Arabidopsis thaliana: one gene and its partners. The protein of the gene in region 1 interacts with the protein of each later gene in a pairwise test. Each region holds a gene or a part of one and is shown in the gene's direction. Other genes may lie near its edges. The genes, in order: AT3G52050, AT2G37150 and HB-2.

Region 1 (7,184 bases):
TTTCTATAGAAAGATCAACTGATATTCCATGTTACTGACAAAAGTCGGTGTGATACTTCAACATGGCTACCTAGCCCCTCTGCCCCTGTAAGGTTGTTGGCTTCTCTATCCACACTGATAAGTTGTATGTTTTCTTTTTCAACCAGTTACATTGACCCAGAAGCTGTAGTTGGATGCGAGGATGGAACAGCTCGTGTATTTGATATGTACAGTAAGACATGTTCACAGATCATTAGGTAAGCTATGTATTATGTGTCTGTTGTGTTATGGAACAACACAGTGAAACTGGAAAAGAACGGTTTTTCATTATCAAAATTGTTTACAATTTCTTTTGAGAAAGCTAAATCACAATTTTCCTATCAGATTGGTTAATAACTATGTATGTAATTGCAGGACTCAGGGTGGGCCAATAACATGCTTATCTCTAAGCGATAATCAACTATTTCTTAGTGGGTCGTCACTCGGGAGAGTAACAGTATCTGACCCTTTGATGGATCAACCAGTGGCCACTCTTAAATCCACGATAACTGCAGGAGGTAAACTCAAACTCAATGTCAGATTGCATCTCCAGTGACATTTCTTAAAGCAACCTCCATTCTCTACAGGTATACAGACAATCTGTTTTAACCAAGGCACTAATCTCGCCTTCATTGGAACAACTGGTGGATATGTTTCATGCTGGGACCTCAGGTATGTTAAAATAGTCGTCTAAGGTTTTTTTCAAAGATGCAAGTTTTAATTCACTATCTTAAGACGTTATAACCAACTATTATCTAACAGGAAAATGGATAGATTGTGGGAAAAACGAGTGAGTCCTAATGTCGTGTACTCAATACAACAGCTAAGGAATGACACATCGGTTATGGTAGCTGGTGGAATAGACGGTGTGCTGCGTATGATTGATCAGAAGAGTGGAAGGGTTTTATCTAGAGTTATAATGGACGATAAATTCTCCACAACATCAACAAGGAACAACCAAGTGGTGATAGAGAAAAGAAGAGGAAAAAGAGTTTCTCAAGACATGGAGATTGATAAAATCGAAAGGAAAGTTCGGCCTCAAATCAGTTGCATAGCAATGGGGATGAAGAAGATGGTAACGGCTCACAATGGTAAATGCATAAGTGTATGGAAGTTCAATCTCTCGTAAAGTAACAATAAACTTGTTTGTAAGTGACGAAATTGGTAACAATAGCATTATAAATGATTGATTTAAAGACAAAACCGATTGGATTGTGTAAGAGCTACAAAAGTTGAAACACTGGAAACAAAAAAAGAAGGGTTTGTTGTCTATTTGGCGGATTTCTTGGATGGCTCAGGTTGAGATTCAGCTTTGATGATATTGAGTTGACCACCTTCTTTACAAGCTGCATTAGTTGCTTTCACTTCATTGCAATGGTTTATGAATTTCGTAAGCTCCTGCTCCACACAACACCAACCAATAACTCACAATTAAAGATCCAATCGATTCAGAATTTAGGGAGATTGAAGAATATAGAAATTACCCGATCAGTGTCCATCTCTTTCGTCATCTTTGTTGGTTTCACATTTCTCTTCCCTGGAACAAGAAGATGATAAAATCTGAGAAATCAAAATCGAAAGGGATTTGTGTGAAGTAAAAAAAAAGTGAATACCTTTGCGAGTTTGAATGGATTTGCCATGGCGATTAGGAGCAATAGTCTTCCTCTTCTGTTGGCCCTTGAACTGATTGCTCTTCTGCGTCATCTTTGGATCGTCGTTTCTAGCTAGGGTTTTCTCTTCTGTCGAAGGGTTTTTGTTGTAATAGAAGAAGAAGAAGAACAACAATCAAAAGCCTATATAATGGGCTCTTAAGGCCTTTATTTATATGGGCTGATTAATTATTGGGCCCAATTTGGAGTTTTCTAAATTCAACTCTGCTAAATTTTTGGGAGGCAGAAGATTTTGTTCCGAGGAAGACACGGATACGCAGAAAGCGGTAAAATCCTCCTTCTTCGTCGTCCTTGTAAAAACCCTTTCTCATTTTTGGAAGGTTCTTTCAAAATCCTTTCTTCGATTGCTTTCGGATTCTCGCTCGCTTCTTCGATTTTTGGTTTTGATTCATGGTGAATGTGTTTCCTCCGCTAAGGTTAAACGCTCTTCTTCTTCATGACAGTACTTTCAGTGACGTCATGACGCTGCATCTGTATCATCACTCCCGTTTTCTATGGAGGAATCTCTGTTTTCCTCGGAGTGTTGGAAACTTGTGTAATCGGAACTGTTCTCTCATCTCTCCTTCCCTTGCACGCTCTGCGAAGGTGATACTTGTACTTGTATCGTTCAATTCTGAGCTATTTAGATGTGGTTTTTACTCTTGTTATGTAGTCTACATCTGAATCATGGCTCTGATTAGTTTGATATACAGATTTTCTGAATCAATTGAATGTTTCTTTCGCGACATTTCTGTTTACTATAAACTCAAAATTGATCTCTGAAGGATACTTATTATTTCGTTCTAATGTTGATATAAACATTTGTGGTACACAGTACTATTGCAGTTCCGTAGCTGTTTCTGAATTCTCAAATGAAGCAGCTAGTGGCAGCACATTGACTTCTATAAGTGAAGATGTTACGCCACAGTCGATAAAATATCCTTTCAAGTCAGAAGAAAGAGTAGCTAGTACTGCTGCTTCTTCAAATGGCAGAGTGATGCTTATTGATGGGACATCGATTATATACAGGGCTTATTATAAGCTTTTAGGTAATTCTGCTACTCATGTGTACATCAAATGTTAATTTTTTTTCCTCCCGATCTCACACTTATTGACATTTGATTGGGCATGTGCAGCAAGGTTGAATCATGGTCATCTGGCTCATGCTGATGGAAATGCGGACTGGGTTTTAACAATATTTTCATCTCTTTCTCTTGTAAGTGATATCTTGAGTATTGTTCTCCAGATGTTCATTTTTACTGTACTTAAATCTGATGGTTGAGAAAAGCTTCTTGTAGCATTAACGATGGCTGACCAAGTAATCATGGTTGCGTATAATTATGTTTCCTTAAGGCTAAAGTTTATCTTTCTTGTTATAACTTTCGCATTCGACTTCTTACCTTGTTTCATTGTGTTCTCATTTTCAGCTGATTGATGTTTTGAAATTTCTCCCATCCCATGTGGCGGTAAATTCCATTATCCATTTAACATCGCATTTCTTTATATCTGTGATGATCGAATGAAGTTCTTGTAGTTTTCTTAATGTTGGATAGCCCCTACTGACTTAATTAACTGTGTCCATGCAGGTGGTGTTCGACCATGATGGTGAGTCCTAATGTAATAGTCTTCTATAATTGGTTAAATTCATGGACGTCTATCTACTTCATGTGGTGATGTAGGAAGAATTCAGGTTTTTGGGGACTTTTAGTGTCTATAGTTAACCACTTTGAGTGTGCCTCTCAGATGATTTAAACTAATTCATTGATATAAGCCCTTATTTCAAACTCTATAGTTATGGCCTCTATACTTCCTGATTTTAATTACTCAAGTATGTGTATGATTTCCCCTTATCAATTGATGCTAATTGCTCCTCTAGTCATCTATAATTTTGATTTTCATCATCCTCTTTCAGATGAATAGATAAATAATTGTCTTCAGCTTGTTGAATGTTGTTGCCCGAAAACTTAGATTATGTTGAGTGTTGATGTTTTCAACTTCATTTGTATCATAGTGAATGGATAAAAGTTTCAGATTTCAACTTCTGGCCACTACTGAGAACATTTATTCGATAGGCCTAAGAGTAAGCAGGTGGAGATCTAGATGGTGATATATTGACCAAAATTGATTACTTAATCTTGATAATCATTACTGTACTATTTATGGAATATTCCACTAAGTTATCTAGAAAAGCTTCTAGTAATGCATAATAGTGGTAATCTGACAAATATCATGTAGTAATCATGGTTATGTCATATGTGAGGCAAGAAGATTAAATGCTTTCTGGACCTATACGTCTCTAGTTACTCTTTTTTAACAAAATAGAGCCTTTTTCAGGAGTTCCTTATGGCACTACTTCTAATTCATCTACAGGTTATCGTTCTGCAAAAGGTAAGCTCCATGTCCTTAGTCAAACTAAAGTAATTTAATTGACAGTATAAGAAGTGGTCATTTTTGCATGAGAGTTTAGTTAGTATGCTGACTCGATGGTGATGTATGTAATATCATCGCCGATGATCTCCAATTGCTATACAAGCCTTCAGTATATTGCTTCTAAATATATAAACTTGCAGTTTGAACTGATTTTCTGCTGTGTGCCTAGGAGAAATTATTCCGGAAATTATGGCTTACTTGCCAAGGATGATATTTGAAGTGAAATGCCAACTTTGTCTTCCTTTGGGTGTTTTGCTTGCCGCTTTTGGGCAGTCATAAACTTTGGTGTAGATAACAGAGGGTCGGTCATATGCGCTTCCATGGCGGTCTTTGGCTATTTGTAAAATAAACTTAGGTCATATCCAATGATGAACGTAGGTCCAGTATGCTTGATGTCTTTTGTTGTTTCCGTTCTGTACATACTGACATAGATATGCATATCCAATACTCTCTTCTTTCTACGTGATGGGTTCACTTGGCTGCTCAAACTGTAAATTTTAGGCTTTTTGGCACTCTAAACCTCGACATGATTCTCCCTTGTCTTTGCGCAGAGTGTGAAGGATTATTTTTATGCATCAGTATCAAACCTATCTTTGTTCATGTTTAAATTTTTACAGGCATGAACTTCCGTCATACTCTCTACCCAGCATATAAAAGTAATCGTCCTCCCACACCTGATACCATAGTACAAGGACTTCAATATCTCAAAGCGTCCATCAAGGCAATGTCTATAAAAGTTATAGAGGTAAATCATGCACATGATTGCCATATTTCCTTTCATTGTGATGATTTCTCACTAATGGGCAGACATTCCATGAAGACAGGTGCCAGGTGTAGAAGCTGATGATGTTATTGGAACACTGGCTATGCGAAGCATTAGTGCCGGTTTCAAAGTACTCATTTTCAGCTATTCGAGAAGTGTTCACTACTTATTGAATGCTCAGGGTCTGTTCAATTTGTCCTTTTCCTAGAAGTGGACTGATCATTTGTTTGTTACCCCTTTACAGGTCCGAGTTGTCTCTCCAGACAAAGACTTCTTTCAGATTCTTTCTCCCTCGTTGCGTCTTCTTCGACTAACACCACGCGGATCAGAGTATGAAATTCATGTTAGATGGATAATTGCCTCATTGTAGAATTTTGCGTATTATGAAACCATAGTTGCTCTTTGTATCCTGTATGTTTTTTCCACTCAGTTGTGTCAAGGCTACTGCTTCTTGTGGCAGGATGGCTTCTTTTGGAATGGAAGATTTTGCTAAAAAGTTTGGAAATTTGGAACCAGCACAATTTGTTGATATCATCGCCCTTGCTGGAGACAAGTCTGATAATATTCCAGGTTAAGCCCACTTCCTCTACCCCTCACGAAATTGTTAATTTCTGGGGATATTCCTTTCATAGCCGCATTTTGTGTATCACAGAAAAGTTGAGCAAAAGTGCACAATCTACATACAAACGTTTAGCCAAAGTGCACACAGGAAAGGGCTAAAGTGATCTAATGATGTTTGTGTGATGCAGGAGTTGATGGTATTGGGAATGTGCACGCAGTGGAACTGATATCTAGATTTGGTATTCACTGAGTCATGCTATATTCTTTGATTTCATTGATTTGCGCCCCATGTTTCCTATTACTCACTTTTATTGCATTATCAGGCACGTTGGAGAATCTGTTGCAGTCTGTGGATGAGATCAAAGAAGGAAAAATAAAGGAGGTGAGTGAACAAGTGTTGCAGAGGTTAGGCAAGCTAGTGCTTCTGTGATATGCAAGGCCTAATATTATAATCTTCCTTGTCTTTGCAACAGTCTCTAATAGCTAGTGCGGATCAAGCCATTCTTAGCAAGAAATTGGTAGGTTTTCCTGTTTTTCTTTCATACTTTCATTCATTTATTCAGTTGTTAAGTTCACAAGGTAGGGATGATGAATTGTGTTAATGGCAGGCACTGTTACGGTCTGATCTCCCAGATTACATAGTACCGTTCGACACGAAAGATCTTACTTTTAAGAAACCAGAGGTTTGTATTTGTATGACGATATACATCTACTACAATAGACTAACTGAAAACAGAAAGATTAGTAACAGAGGATAATTTGTGAAATGTACAGGACAATGGTGAGAAATTGAGTAGCCTGTTAATCGCGATTGCGGATTACGCAGAAGGATTTTCAGCTGATCCAGTCATCAGAAGAGCTTTCAGGTTGTGGGAAAAACTGGAAGCAGTGCCATGATGATATTTTATGCATCTTTTTTCTTACTCGTTTCTTTGTATTGGGTACATAAAATAGAGTAAGTTCAAGCCAAGCTTAGAAAGTTCTCCCACAAAACATTAAAGCGATACTTTCACAATCCTTTTGTAAAGCATGCTTTATTGTAACTATGGAGAATGATGAAGTTGATGCTAATTTAGAATGCTCCTCCATGGGAGGTTCCATTACATAAAACACAAGGGAGATGATAACTTCAAGCTAGCCTCTTCTGAACACATCTAAAATGCTGTCTGAAACTCTGTTCACTTTGCTAAAACAAGAATCTCTTCTGTCTTTTAGTTGAATAGGTAAACTAACGTTAATATCATTTACTATTATTAGTATCCGCTAAATTGATTATAAAAAAAGGTCAAGTTAATGCCTCATGGAGACATATGATGATGATGATCAAAGTAAATTATAAACTAAGAAGAAAATATTCGTCTCTATTGAATTAATTATGTACATTAGTGACAATAAGAACTAAAAATATTCTAAACAAATTAACAATGAAAGAAAAGAGACAAGGTACTAAACTAGTACGTAAATTAGTAGACAAACTCCTTCATTGGATCTCAAACCAAATCGAAAACCAAGGACCAAGGTAGCATTATGCTTTTGATGATGGGGTCTGAAAGTGTGTTACCACTTACCACCTTGTGACAACTTTGGAACACTGAGTATTGGTGAAACCACTACTCAAAGCTTAAGCCCGTTCGCACAGTGACCCGGCTTTGAGCTTATGAAATAATGGACTCCGGGGTTTGGTGAGCCTGACGAGATCGAGGCCTGTCTTGTGCACGGCTACTGGAGAAGTGGGGTCGCAATATCTGAATTCACGATGACCG
Region 2 (6,645 bases), on another chromosome or scaffold:
AGCTGAGGTATTAGAACTAGAAGCAGCGAATGAGGCCCCAATCCTTGAACTTGCACCCACATTTTTAGCCCCTCCATTACCTCCAACAAAACTAAGCGCACGGTTACCATTCCCACCACCCAATAACCTTGCTGTTGCTGACCGGAAACCGCTACTAGCTGTGGAACTTGACGAGGTCCCAGTTGGTGTCGATGGAGCAGGTTTATCCTTAAGGTGAGCTAGAGTAACCTGACACCAAAATTTCACAAATCCATTCTCAGAAACCACTTTCAAAACATAAAAATGAAATGTGCATTTGATATTCTTACACAAAACCTAATAGCAATTTCGTAATAGCAATCACAAGTGCAAAGAAATCAGATTGGATTAAACTTTCAATTCAAAAATAAACACCAAAGAAAACGAATCAAATCTTCACCTGAGTAACGGTTTTGCCATGAGTGTAGTGAAGAAGCCCAGAGGGATGCGTCTTCTCGTAGTGGAGCTTGTACTTTCCTTCAGGCGTCTTGAAATACGTTTTGATTCCCGGAGACTGAGGATTCGCCGCCGAAGCTGACGAAGAAGAAGGCCCAGAGATCATCCCATTCGAAGTGTTCATCATATTTGCTCACTTGCTCTTTCTCTAATTCACAAGCTACTTAGAGCATCCGATCATGTCCCTCCCAAGCTAGGGTTTACCCTTCTCCCACTACACAAAATCCAAAAATCTTCTCTTCTTCAATGCAAATTTCTCTAAACTCTGTTCATCATCGTCGCCAAAATCAAAATGGAACTTTAATACTCCTGGATTCGCCAATGGCTACTGGATCAAAAAGATTAATACAATGTGGATTCCGATTCGCTTCCTTTATTGCTTTCTTAATCATCCTCTTAACTCATCAATCAAATTGACTATTAATGGATAAAATCAAAGTCATCTCGATCAACGGTCAAGATCCCTTTAATCTCTGAGTTTCTCGAACCCTTTTGATACGTACAGCTGAGGCCCAAGTACAGTCCAAAAATATAGGCCCATTACTGAAGAACCATAGTTAATTAATAAATTGTTTAGTCGACAATAAGACAGTGAACGGGTTTTACCGGTAGCCGGTGAAGTTGGTCAGAGAAGGGATTAATGTCCCGGCAACGTCGTAACTCAACCGCTTTAATTTGATTTTTCTTAAATATAAACCGATACTCTTCATCGCTCAACCATCACCAAAAAAGAAAGCAATTTGTCTTCAAAACATATTTCTCTCTCTAAAACCTCTTTTTCATAAAAGGTTGCGTCATCTATACGAATCCATACGTCTCTTTGCTTTTCTCCGATCGGTCTTCTTTTCTCATCGCCGGAACGCTTTGGTAATGTTTCTCATTTCTCCGATCATTATTGTTGTTTCGCCGTTGAGCTGATTATTTCGTGTTGGTATGTATAAACAAGCCGATCGTTGTTTCCTTTTTTCTCTTGTGATTGTGTGATGATGGATTGTTTCTTTTTTTCGGTTTAATCCGGTTTATTCCCGGTTTTGCTGCTACATCGGTGACTTTTCCCACAATCTTCGGGTATGATCGCGATCATGTCCGTTAACCGGAGTCGGTTCTGATAATTTCAGACTTCGAATTTGTTCTCTTTCACGTAGTTGTTAGCTTTTTAAGATTCCGATACTGAGAAGAGACCAGCTCGGTGATTAGAGGAGATGTTGTAAGCTTTGTGTTTTGGTTAGCTGTTGATAATGTTGTTCAGGCTGCTACTTCAGCGATGCGGGTAAGCTAGTTTGGGATATAGTGTATTAGCATAACCTAGGCTTAGCTGGTTTGTATCCTGCAGGCTGCAGGTTTAGTGGCAATGGTGGTTTCTAGTTCTATCATACCTTTCTCCACCACGAACCTCTGGTAGTTGAGAAACTGGAGAAAAGCCTAATCAGTGATTCAAGTGTTTGGAAGATTTGAGAACTAGTACGGCTATAGTTTCAGGTCAGAATTCATCTTCCTCTTTGAGAACTTTTAGAAACTTTGAAATTATGGCATCATTCTTAAAGAAATTGCATTGATAACACATTTCAAACAGATGTTAGTTCCTCATGTTAGCCCATTAGGATTGGTGGCTGGCCTATCCTTGATGTATTCTGATTTGCGGATTGTGTTGTGGACCTTCTTGGTTGATTGGGAAAGCAAAGCGAACTTGAACTCAAGTCATCTAGAAGTTATTCTGATCCATAGGGGTAAGGAAATAACCATAACTAGTCTCTGCCATCACATGTGTACCAGAGTGTGTTTAGTCAGTTGAAGATGCTTGAGGTACGGTATCCATGAGTGGGGAACTTCAATCTTCCTAACAAACTACATCTATCATATAATGGTTTCTAGAGTGACATGCTGTCACGTACAAGCATTTGATTTGGATGCACAATGATGTGAAACATAATGCTAATTTTAAGAAAGCATCCTTTCACACAAGCCCGAATTCAGGAGTCTATTAAGGTGTGCTGGTGGGTTTGAAGACAATAAGAGCGCAGAAATAGTAAATGAGGTAGTAAGCCTTTGCAGGCTAGTACTTTTGTGGACTAAATCCGTTTATCTAAGGAAACTGTAGTGTATTCAATTTGTGGATCAGAGGAGAAGGAATAGAATTTGGTGTTCTCATTGTATTAGTGAAGTCAAGGGCCTAATTGCTTCCTGTTGGTCTACTTTAAAGGTGTGCAGAAATGATGAATCAGTGATCAATCAAGCACGACGGCTTTATCACTTGGGTAGTGTAGTGTATTCGTGGTTAGGACTTTCTAAACCTATATCCTTCTAGGATTATTTGCCTGCAGGTGCACTTTTGAGGGTTTCGGTTCAGAAAAATATTTTAAGCTTAAGTCCTGCTATTGGATTTTCCATGTAATTTTCTTGCTCATGTCATCTATGGTTGTAAGTTTAGTGAAATACATGTACAAGGCCTTTACTTGAATATAAACGAAGAAGTAGTACATTGATAGAAACTGAAAAGATGATATCAAGTGTTACCTATTTTGCATGAACTTGCTCTGATGCTCTTTTATGCGGATACAGTATATGATAATTTGCCATCGTGCCTTATTCTTTCATCCTCTTCTATTTCCTAATCAGTTTCCTATAGACTTTTCTGTAAATTCTATAGACTTTTTGAAAGTGTGTAATTTGATGAACTCCTTGTATTACTCTTCACTTTTGATGGCTCTGGTTTGGAGAGTCGAGAACCTTAGTGATACTTTAAATGCAAAGGCTTCTTAGTTTCCCAACCGTGCTTGTTTTCTGCCTCTCTTTTCTTTTGGTTTAAAAGAAGTATGTCTGTTGTTATTGACAAACTCTTCTATGTAAGTTTTTCTTATGAACTAAAAGATCTGTACTATTAAGGTTTATTTTTCATGTATAAGCATCATGAACTTTCCTGCAGCACAGAGCCTAAGTCCACAAAAACTTGTTTGCTTATGATATCATGAGATCTGAGGTATATAATATGGTAGGTACATGTTACAAAGGTAATGGTACTAGAGCTTGAAACTATGGACTGATTTCTTATATATTTACTTGGGAAATTTGGCTATCAGACTGAAAGTAAACTATGTTGGTTGGAAATTATAGATTTTTTTTTTTTCTGAGCTTGCGGATGTTTTCCTGGGATTTTGAATGGTGAGAGAAATTTTTGTGCAGGTTTAATGGGGCACAGACATTTTCTTGGTTCATCCCAGTTTTTTGATGATGAACATGATCAAGGCTGGAATCATACACACCCAGAACATCCATATTCGAGTCAAGGTAATTAGTCCTTCATTCTATAGTTCCTTAATCTGTTTTTTATTTATTGAAATTTGGTTGATGATGCATGTTTAGTTTTAGGGTAATATGTTCCATATTTCTGATTAATTATTGTCCATCCCACATTTTCTCAGCAACATCTGGGACCAGTGAGAACAGATCACATGTTTATCCAGCAGAAAACATGTTGAATGAAGGAATGCCAGTGTCTTCTCATTGGAACTCTTCTCCAGGACCAAATGCTTATACTGACTCAGGTCATAGTGTGGAGAGACCACACTACAATCCGGGGGTTTCGGGGCCGTCCCATGATCCTTCCGTGAATTCAACAGTTCCAACTTTCTCTGCTCCACATGAGAATTATGTGACATTTGCATCTTCTTCAAGCTACAACAGCCAGACATGGTCAAATGCTAGTTATGTTGATCATCAATCTATGGAAAGTGTGAGAGGAGCACAAAAGAGAAAACGACCATGTCCTTCTTCCATCTATGAAATGGGTAGTTCAAGCCAATATCACGGTGACAGAACTCCTGCAGACACTCATTTCCCCTCGGAATTGCACTTGGGAAAATCAATAACGCATGATCATGACCCTCATTACATGCCATGGCTTATGAACCCAACTTACAGAAGTAATAATCTCTCGATCAGGGGAGAGAGCTCTTCAAGGAATGTCCGGAGTCGTCCTACACTTGATTCAGAGACCAGCTTAGGTAGAAATAATTTGCCAAGAAGCTTGAGCCTTGATTCTCATTCTACACACCACCACAGTGTTGATCATTATGGCTCAGGTCAATTTCCTGGTCAGACATCTCACGGAAATAAAGACTGGAACTGTGCTAGATTGTCCCCAGTTCTTAGAGGTATGCAAAGTTCACTTTGTCTCGATATCTGAATCGTCTTTGTTTCTAATAATCACATTAATTCCCACTTTGCAGATATAAATGGCTTTAGTCCAGAGACAAATAATTTCCTTCCTGCAAGAAGTGTTGTCAACAGCTTATCTGTTAATACTTCCGGCTATCATCACCATGAGCTTACCGGAAACAGAAACCCTACAGTTTCCCACGGGGTTCCTGGAACTTCAACACTATCTACAAGCAGCAGCCGCTTCTCTCATAGGTCAACATCCACCTATAGATCTTCTTCACACGGTTCGCGATCGGGACATGTAGCATCTTCTTCTGGAGACAGGTCTCATTTGGTCACTGAGACTTATCCGTCTAGGCATTTAAGGCCACCACCACACATTTCATGGCGTAGCGGTGATCGGCCAGGGAGACGCAGAAGTTCCTATGAGAGGTTTCAGCCTCCTTTCGATGAAGTTGCTCTCCACGAACGGTTTTCATCTGAGGTATATATTTCCCTTACAGATGCATTATTTAGAGTGGAAGTCTGTCTAAATTACATTTAGTATTAAGATAAAGATCAAGCCGATATGATACAGTGCATATCGAATATTAAGATATAGATTTGCAATCTTATCATTTTCTGCTGCATGCTGAACTGTAATCTGTTATTTTTTGGGGTGTATGTAATAATAGGAATTCATGGTTGAAGATCGCCAACCACAATACTACGGATCCAGAAACATGCTTGATCACCACAGAGACATGAGGCTTGACATCGATAACATGAGCTATGAGGTTAATAGCCAAACACTTATCTTTTGAAGCCTCACATAGGCAAAACGAAAAGTTTTGGTACTGACATATATATGCAGGAACTCCTTGATCTTGGAGAAAGGATTGGGAGTGTCAACACTGGTCTATCCGACAGCGCAATCTCCAGTTGCTTGTTAGCAACAATGTATTATCCATCATATCAAACAGAGGAGCAAAGAAAATGTGCAATCTGCCTGGTAAGATTTAGTTTTTTTTTTTTTTTTCACAACCTGGTAAGATTTAGTTGTCTGAAACATTATGTGTCTATAAAGTTAGAAGTAGGCTAACTTAAGGGTGATGTGGTAATTGGTAAACAAATAGGAGGAGTACAAGGAAAAAGAAGAGTTAGGGGAAGTTAAGGGGTGTGGTCATGACTACCATGGGAGGTGCATCAAGAAATGGTTGTCTATGAAGAACTCTTGCCCTATTTGCAAATCCCCTGCTTTACCTGATGCTTCTAAGAACTCATCATAAATTATAGGTTATCTTTTATGTGTGCATGTTATATTCATTTGTCTTTCGAAAGGAAGAAAAATATGTGACAGAATATAACATTAAGTTTTCTTAGTGATTAATAGTTGTAAATAGAAGAAAGTCCAGGATCTTTCTCAAGGGTTAATATATATGTTAATTATTGGAAAAGGCTCTCTTTGGAAAATCTGGATTTGTTACAGATGCAAATAGTTACACAACACTTCACACTATATGGTATTTCATCTTCAAAGAGAAATAAGATTGACAAATAAAGAGATGATATAGTCCTTGAATTTTCCTTGTGGATGGGTGAATTCTTCACCGGTCCTGTAGGTCACATCTATCATTTTTCCAGCATTAGTGGCCCGTGATAAGATATCGCCTGATATTATCTTCCTTGACTTCAAGTACACTTCGTTCACTGACTTGGCCGTCTGGATTTAAGCCACTCATAACTTTTTCTTCTAGCAGTTTGTACCAACCCAAGAAAACTGCATGAAACAGTTACATACATTGACACCTCAACACCACCAATCTCCAAGTACTCATCGAATGTAGGCACGATGTCTCCTTGTGCCCACTCTGCATAGCTAAGGTTGGCCTTTGAGTATAGTTTGAACTGCTTAATGTTTAGGAGCATATATACAAAAAGATGTTATGTCTATGATAATCTCTTTATGTCGACCGTTATTAGTGAGGTACTAGCTAAGATACTATTACTCATCAATTACATCTTGTAGACTAG
Region 3 (3,963 bases), on another chromosome or scaffold:
ATAATCATTTCTTCTTTTGGCGTGTCACTGGGACCTTCACTGTCAATGCTGAATTAATCTCCTTTAAGGATTTGAAGGCAAGAAAAATCTTGTTGCAACTAATAAAAGGAATCGATTTTGATGCTCATTAATCGACCTTTATGACCAAAATGGGTCTATATGAAATAATTATATGATTTGACAAGTAACCATTTGATTTACAAATTATTCAACGATTTAGCATTACAAAAACATCTAACCATGCTTAATGTATGATGTTATTCATTTTAAAAAGTCGAATGAAACCCATGTTTATCTCAATGCATGATTTAATAATTTTATTATACATGCACATAATTCTACATTTTTAATTAATTTTATTAGTTTAATAATAATAATTAATTTTCTTTTTTTACACTTGTTATAGGTGAGAAATGAAAGTTATCATAATACAAAACATCAGTTTTTATAAAACCAAATAAAACTCAAAAATCATTCAGACAAATAAGTTTATGGACTTATGGTATATGATGATACTCTCTCAACATCCTCATTAACATCATCACTATTAAGTTAACAAAAAGAAAAAGAAAACATCATTATAAGTTATTAATAAGTTTAAATAGTAGTATTTTATATTCTGGTACAATGTACTGTTTTTGGTCATTAAGTGGTTCAACGACAAAAGTAAAACTCATGCGGTCGACCCATGCGTTAGAAGAAGAAAATCTGAAAAGAAGTTTGAATTCTTTAATTTTTTCATAAAAAGAAGTTTGAATTCAATTCAACCGTTTTTGTTTAGTTCTTCTTTAATTAACTTTATCACTAATGTTTAAAAGTAAAAGGTTTTTAAAGTGTGCAACAAGCGTGACTCTTTGGCCTTTAGAGTCATCAAGAAGGGTAATCATTTTTTTTACTCTTTCTCGACAATAGCAATCAAATTATCATTCCCACTTTTAATAATCTCATAAAATAAAGTCAATCATAGTTAAAATTTGATAAATTCCATGGAAATGATAAAAATTTGATTTTACTATTGTTGGATGTGCAATTGTTCATGGTAACTTACTAATTTATATGCTTTATTAGTTGCAGATAGTGATATATATCGAAAAATGAAAGATCTAATTCCAATAATTGTCAAAGAGGATTTCTAAATTTCTGTTTGACTAGGTCATATATTCTCACGACTCAACGATCTAACCAATCACCTACAACAGAAAATTTGGTTGAAATAAAACGAAAAGTGATAAGTCCAAATGTTTAAAACAAAAAAAAAGTAAACAAAAGGCAAAATAAGATAACTACGATTAGATTTTGTTCTCGCCTTATGAATATCCTAAAAATTATCTATTAGTGATAGTTTGATAATCATCTTTGACTGAGAAAATTGATGTCACATAAACATTAATATAGTATCAACATTAATCATTAATGATGCGACTATAATTATTATTTTATCACAATTTCTTAGATTTGATAATTTGTTTAGGTTTGAGAGAGTTATATAGAGGGGGACAAAGAAGCAAAGTTTGTGATTATAAAATTATTTCCATTGAACTAAAGTTTTCAATAGTTTATTCTTGACTTTAATAATAATAACTATTTTGCCCCCAGCTAGTCACATACTCATGATTGCAAAATCTCTCTCTCTCTCTGCCTCTCTATATATTAACCTTTCTTCTTCCTTTACTTTCTCATCTTCTATCTCTCAAAAGAAAAGCAGACAACTTTATTTGCAAAAACAGAGTTTTTTTTTCTTATCTTGAGAAAGTTCAACAGAAGATGATGTTCGAGAAAGACGATCTGGGTCTAAGCTTAGGCTTGAATTTTCCAAAGAAACAGATCAATCTCAAATCAAATCCATCTGTTTCTGTTACTCCTTCTTCTTCTTCTTTTGGATTATTCAGAAGATCTTCATGGAACGAGAGTTTTACTTCTTCAGGTACTTCATCGCTTTCTTCGTTCCTCTGTTTTTTTTTATTTTTCCCCGGAAAAAACCTTAAAGGTCTCACCTTTTACTCTACTTTTCAATCTTATGCATGCAGTTCCAAACTCAGATTCGTCACAAAAAGAAACAAGAACTTTCATCCGAGGAATCGACGTGAACAGACCACCGTCTACAGCGGAATACGGCGACGAAGACGCTGGAGTATCTTCACCTAACAGTACAGTCTCAAGCTCTACAGGGAAAAGAAGCGAGAGAGAAGAAGACACAGATCCACAAGGCTCAAGAGGAATCAGTGACGATGAAGATGGTGATAACTCCAGGAAAAAGCTTAGACTTTCCAAAGATCAATCTGCTATTCTTGAAGAGACCTTCAAAGATCACAGTACTCTCAATCCGGTAATTTTTTTCTTCTTTTACTTATTGTTTCACCCGAGAAAGTTTGGTTTTACTGGGAAAATTAATGGCTATGATAAATTGTGGAAACGAAAAAAGAACGCGTTAATGAAATATTCACATTAAAATGACTATTGTTACATGTTGACCAAAGAAAAAACATTACTACTACTATTTGTTTCGGTCTCTCATAAATGCAGATATTAATTTATAAATGGCATTTTGGTAAATGTAGACTGATATCAAGGTTTTTTTCAACTTTTTTTCACAGAAGCAGAAGCAAGCATTGGCTAAACAATTAGGGTTACGAGCAAGACAAGTGGAAGTTTGGTTTCAGAACAGACGAGCAAGGTAAATAAAACACACACAAACAAAAGATCTCTCTATTTGCCTGATTTATCTATTTTCTTATAAGGGTATTTTGGTAAATGTTTAACAGAACAAAGCTGAAGCAAACGGAGGTAGACTGCGAGTTCTTACGGAGATGCTGCGAGAATCTAACGGAAGAGAACCGTCGGCTACAAAAAGAAGTAACGGAATTGAGAGCACTTAAGCTCTCTCCTCAGTTCTACATGCACATGAGCCCACCCACTACTTTGACCATGTGCCCTTCATGTGAACACGTGTCGGTCCCGCCACCACAACCTCAGGCTGCTACGTCAGCGCACCACCGGTCGTTGCCGGTCAATGCGTGGGCTCCTGCGACGAGGATATCTCACGGCTTGACTTTTGACGCTCTTCGTCCTAGGTCCTAAGTCTTTTTACTTGCAACCAAAGGGCATTTTGGTCGTTTTTTAAGTTTCATGGACCAGATATGCATGTAGTTGTTAACATGTATGTATTTTCTTAGAAAGAAAGAAAAACAGATTAATATTTTTCTAGCTTAAACCAACATATATGTGTCATGCTAACAAGTAACAACAAATATTTAGAGCCAATGCTATCAGATATTATGACTTTGAAATCATTTTGTTTTGTTTTGTTGCAATAAATATTTTGGACAAAACTATCACAAGAAACTTTATTGCAATAATATTTATAGTGTCTAGCGAGTAGCCACAAACCAAGAAGTACAATTGATGTAGGAAATGCAAAAGAAAATTAAATGGTCCAAATTGTTTCATGTGGCTATGTGAAAAATATTAAATAGTGGGCTAAAAATAGTTGAAATTTCTAAAAGTTTTTCCAGGATTTTTTTTTTTTTTTTTTTTGTTAAACTTAAAAACTTAAAACTTATACTTTGGGCCCAAGTGTTCCTGGCATTACCATTACAACTATAAGTGAGAAAGAGATTACCATATGTCATACATGAGTATGGGCAAAGTTTAGGCCTTATTGAACATGTAGGTTAGGCTATGGGCCACTTCTTGGGTTTGAAAGGTTAACGCAAGTGCTTATCCCCACTACATGTTAAATTTAAAACTCTGATTTTTCAATGGTGTTGAATTGGACTGCTCTGAGATGTTGAAAATGCTAGATGATCAATAGGATTGGATACGTTTAACGTATTTAGGATATACTAGGCCATGAAGTAGTAATATTTGTACTAATTGTCTTGCTAAAAAGGTAAGAGCATGAGGGTTCATGTTTTCCTATGTAAGCAGCTTGGTGTCGGATTTACTCTCTTTGGAGAGTAGCCT

What was found.
Region 2: the proteins of AT3G52050 (region 1) and AT2G37150 interact in a two-hybrid assay, tested with the Arabidopsis thaliana proteins (one large-scale study listed by BioGRID).
Region 3: the proteins of AT3G52050 (region 1) and HB-2 interact in a two-hybrid assay, tested with the Arabidopsis thaliana proteins (one large-scale study listed by BioGRID).

Annotation. Positions count from the first base shown.
Region 1 is NC_003074.8:19,303,081-19,310,264, forward strand, and holds AT3G52050 (5'-3' exonuclease family protein), read left to right. Parts: upstream 1-1,805; 5' UTR 1,806-2,078; coding exon 2,079-2,273; intron 2,274-2,502; coding exon 2,503-2,716; intron 2,717-2,803; coding exon 2,804-2,883; intron 2,884-3,094; coding exon 3,095-3,133; intron 3,134-3,253; coding exon 3,254-3,272; intron 3,273-4,001; coding exon 4,002-4,055; intron 4,056-4,714; coding exon 4,715-4,842; intron 4,843-4,921; coding exon 4,922-4,990; intron 4,991-5,104; coding exon 5,105-5,190; intron 5,191-5,320; coding exon 5,321-5,430; intron 5,431-5,609; coding exon 5,610-5,660; intron 5,661-5,744; coding exon 5,745-5,803; coding exon of another isoform or gene 5,804-5,851; exon of another isoform or gene 5,852-5,894; coding exon 5,895-5,939; intron 5,940-6,029; coding exon 6,030-6,104; intron 6,105-6,195; coding exon 6,196-6,318; 3' UTR 6,319-6,571; downstream 6,572-7,184. Other genes in the region: AT3G52030 (F-box family protein with WD40/YVTN repeat doamin), read left to right, coding at 147-236, 394-536, 606-690, 781-1,147; AT3G52040 (2,3-bisphosphoglycerate-dependent phosphoglycerate mutase), read right to left, coding at 1,288-1,416, 1,503-1,555, 1,632-1,722.
Region 2 is NC_003071.7:15,603,003-15,609,647, reverse strand, and holds AT2G37150 (RING/U-box superfamily protein), read left to right. Parts: upstream 1-2,047; coding exon 2,048-2,201; exon of another isoform or gene 2,202-3,439; coding exon of another isoform or gene 3,440-3,482; exon of another isoform or gene 3,483-3,654; coding exon 3,655-3,759; intron 3,760-3,893; coding exon 3,894-4,625; intron 4,626-4,700; coding exon 4,701-5,116; intron 5,117-5,306; coding exon 5,307-5,408; intron 5,409-5,485; coding exon 5,486-5,623; intron 5,624-5,747; coding exon 5,748-5,900; 3' UTR 5,901-6,067; downstream 6,068-6,645. Other genes in the region: AT2G37160 (Transducin/WD40 repeat-like superfamily protein), read right to left, coding at 1-315, 419-601; AT2G37140 (Terpenoid synthases superfamily protein), read right to left, coding at 6,319-6,522.
Region 3 is NC_003075.7:9,447,527-9,451,489, forward strand, and holds HB-2 (homeobox protein 2), read left to right. Parts: upstream 1-1,587; 5' UTR 1,588-1,764; coding exon 1,765-1,924; intron 1,925-2,027; coding exon 2,028-2,326; intron 2,327-2,594; coding exon 2,595-2,674; intron 2,675-2,762; coding exon 2,763-3,078; 3' UTR 3,079-3,379; downstream 3,380-3,963. UniProt on the Arabidopsis thaliana protein: Probable transcription factor involved in the negative regulation of cell elongation and specific cell proliferation processes such as lateral root formation and secondary growth of the vascular system.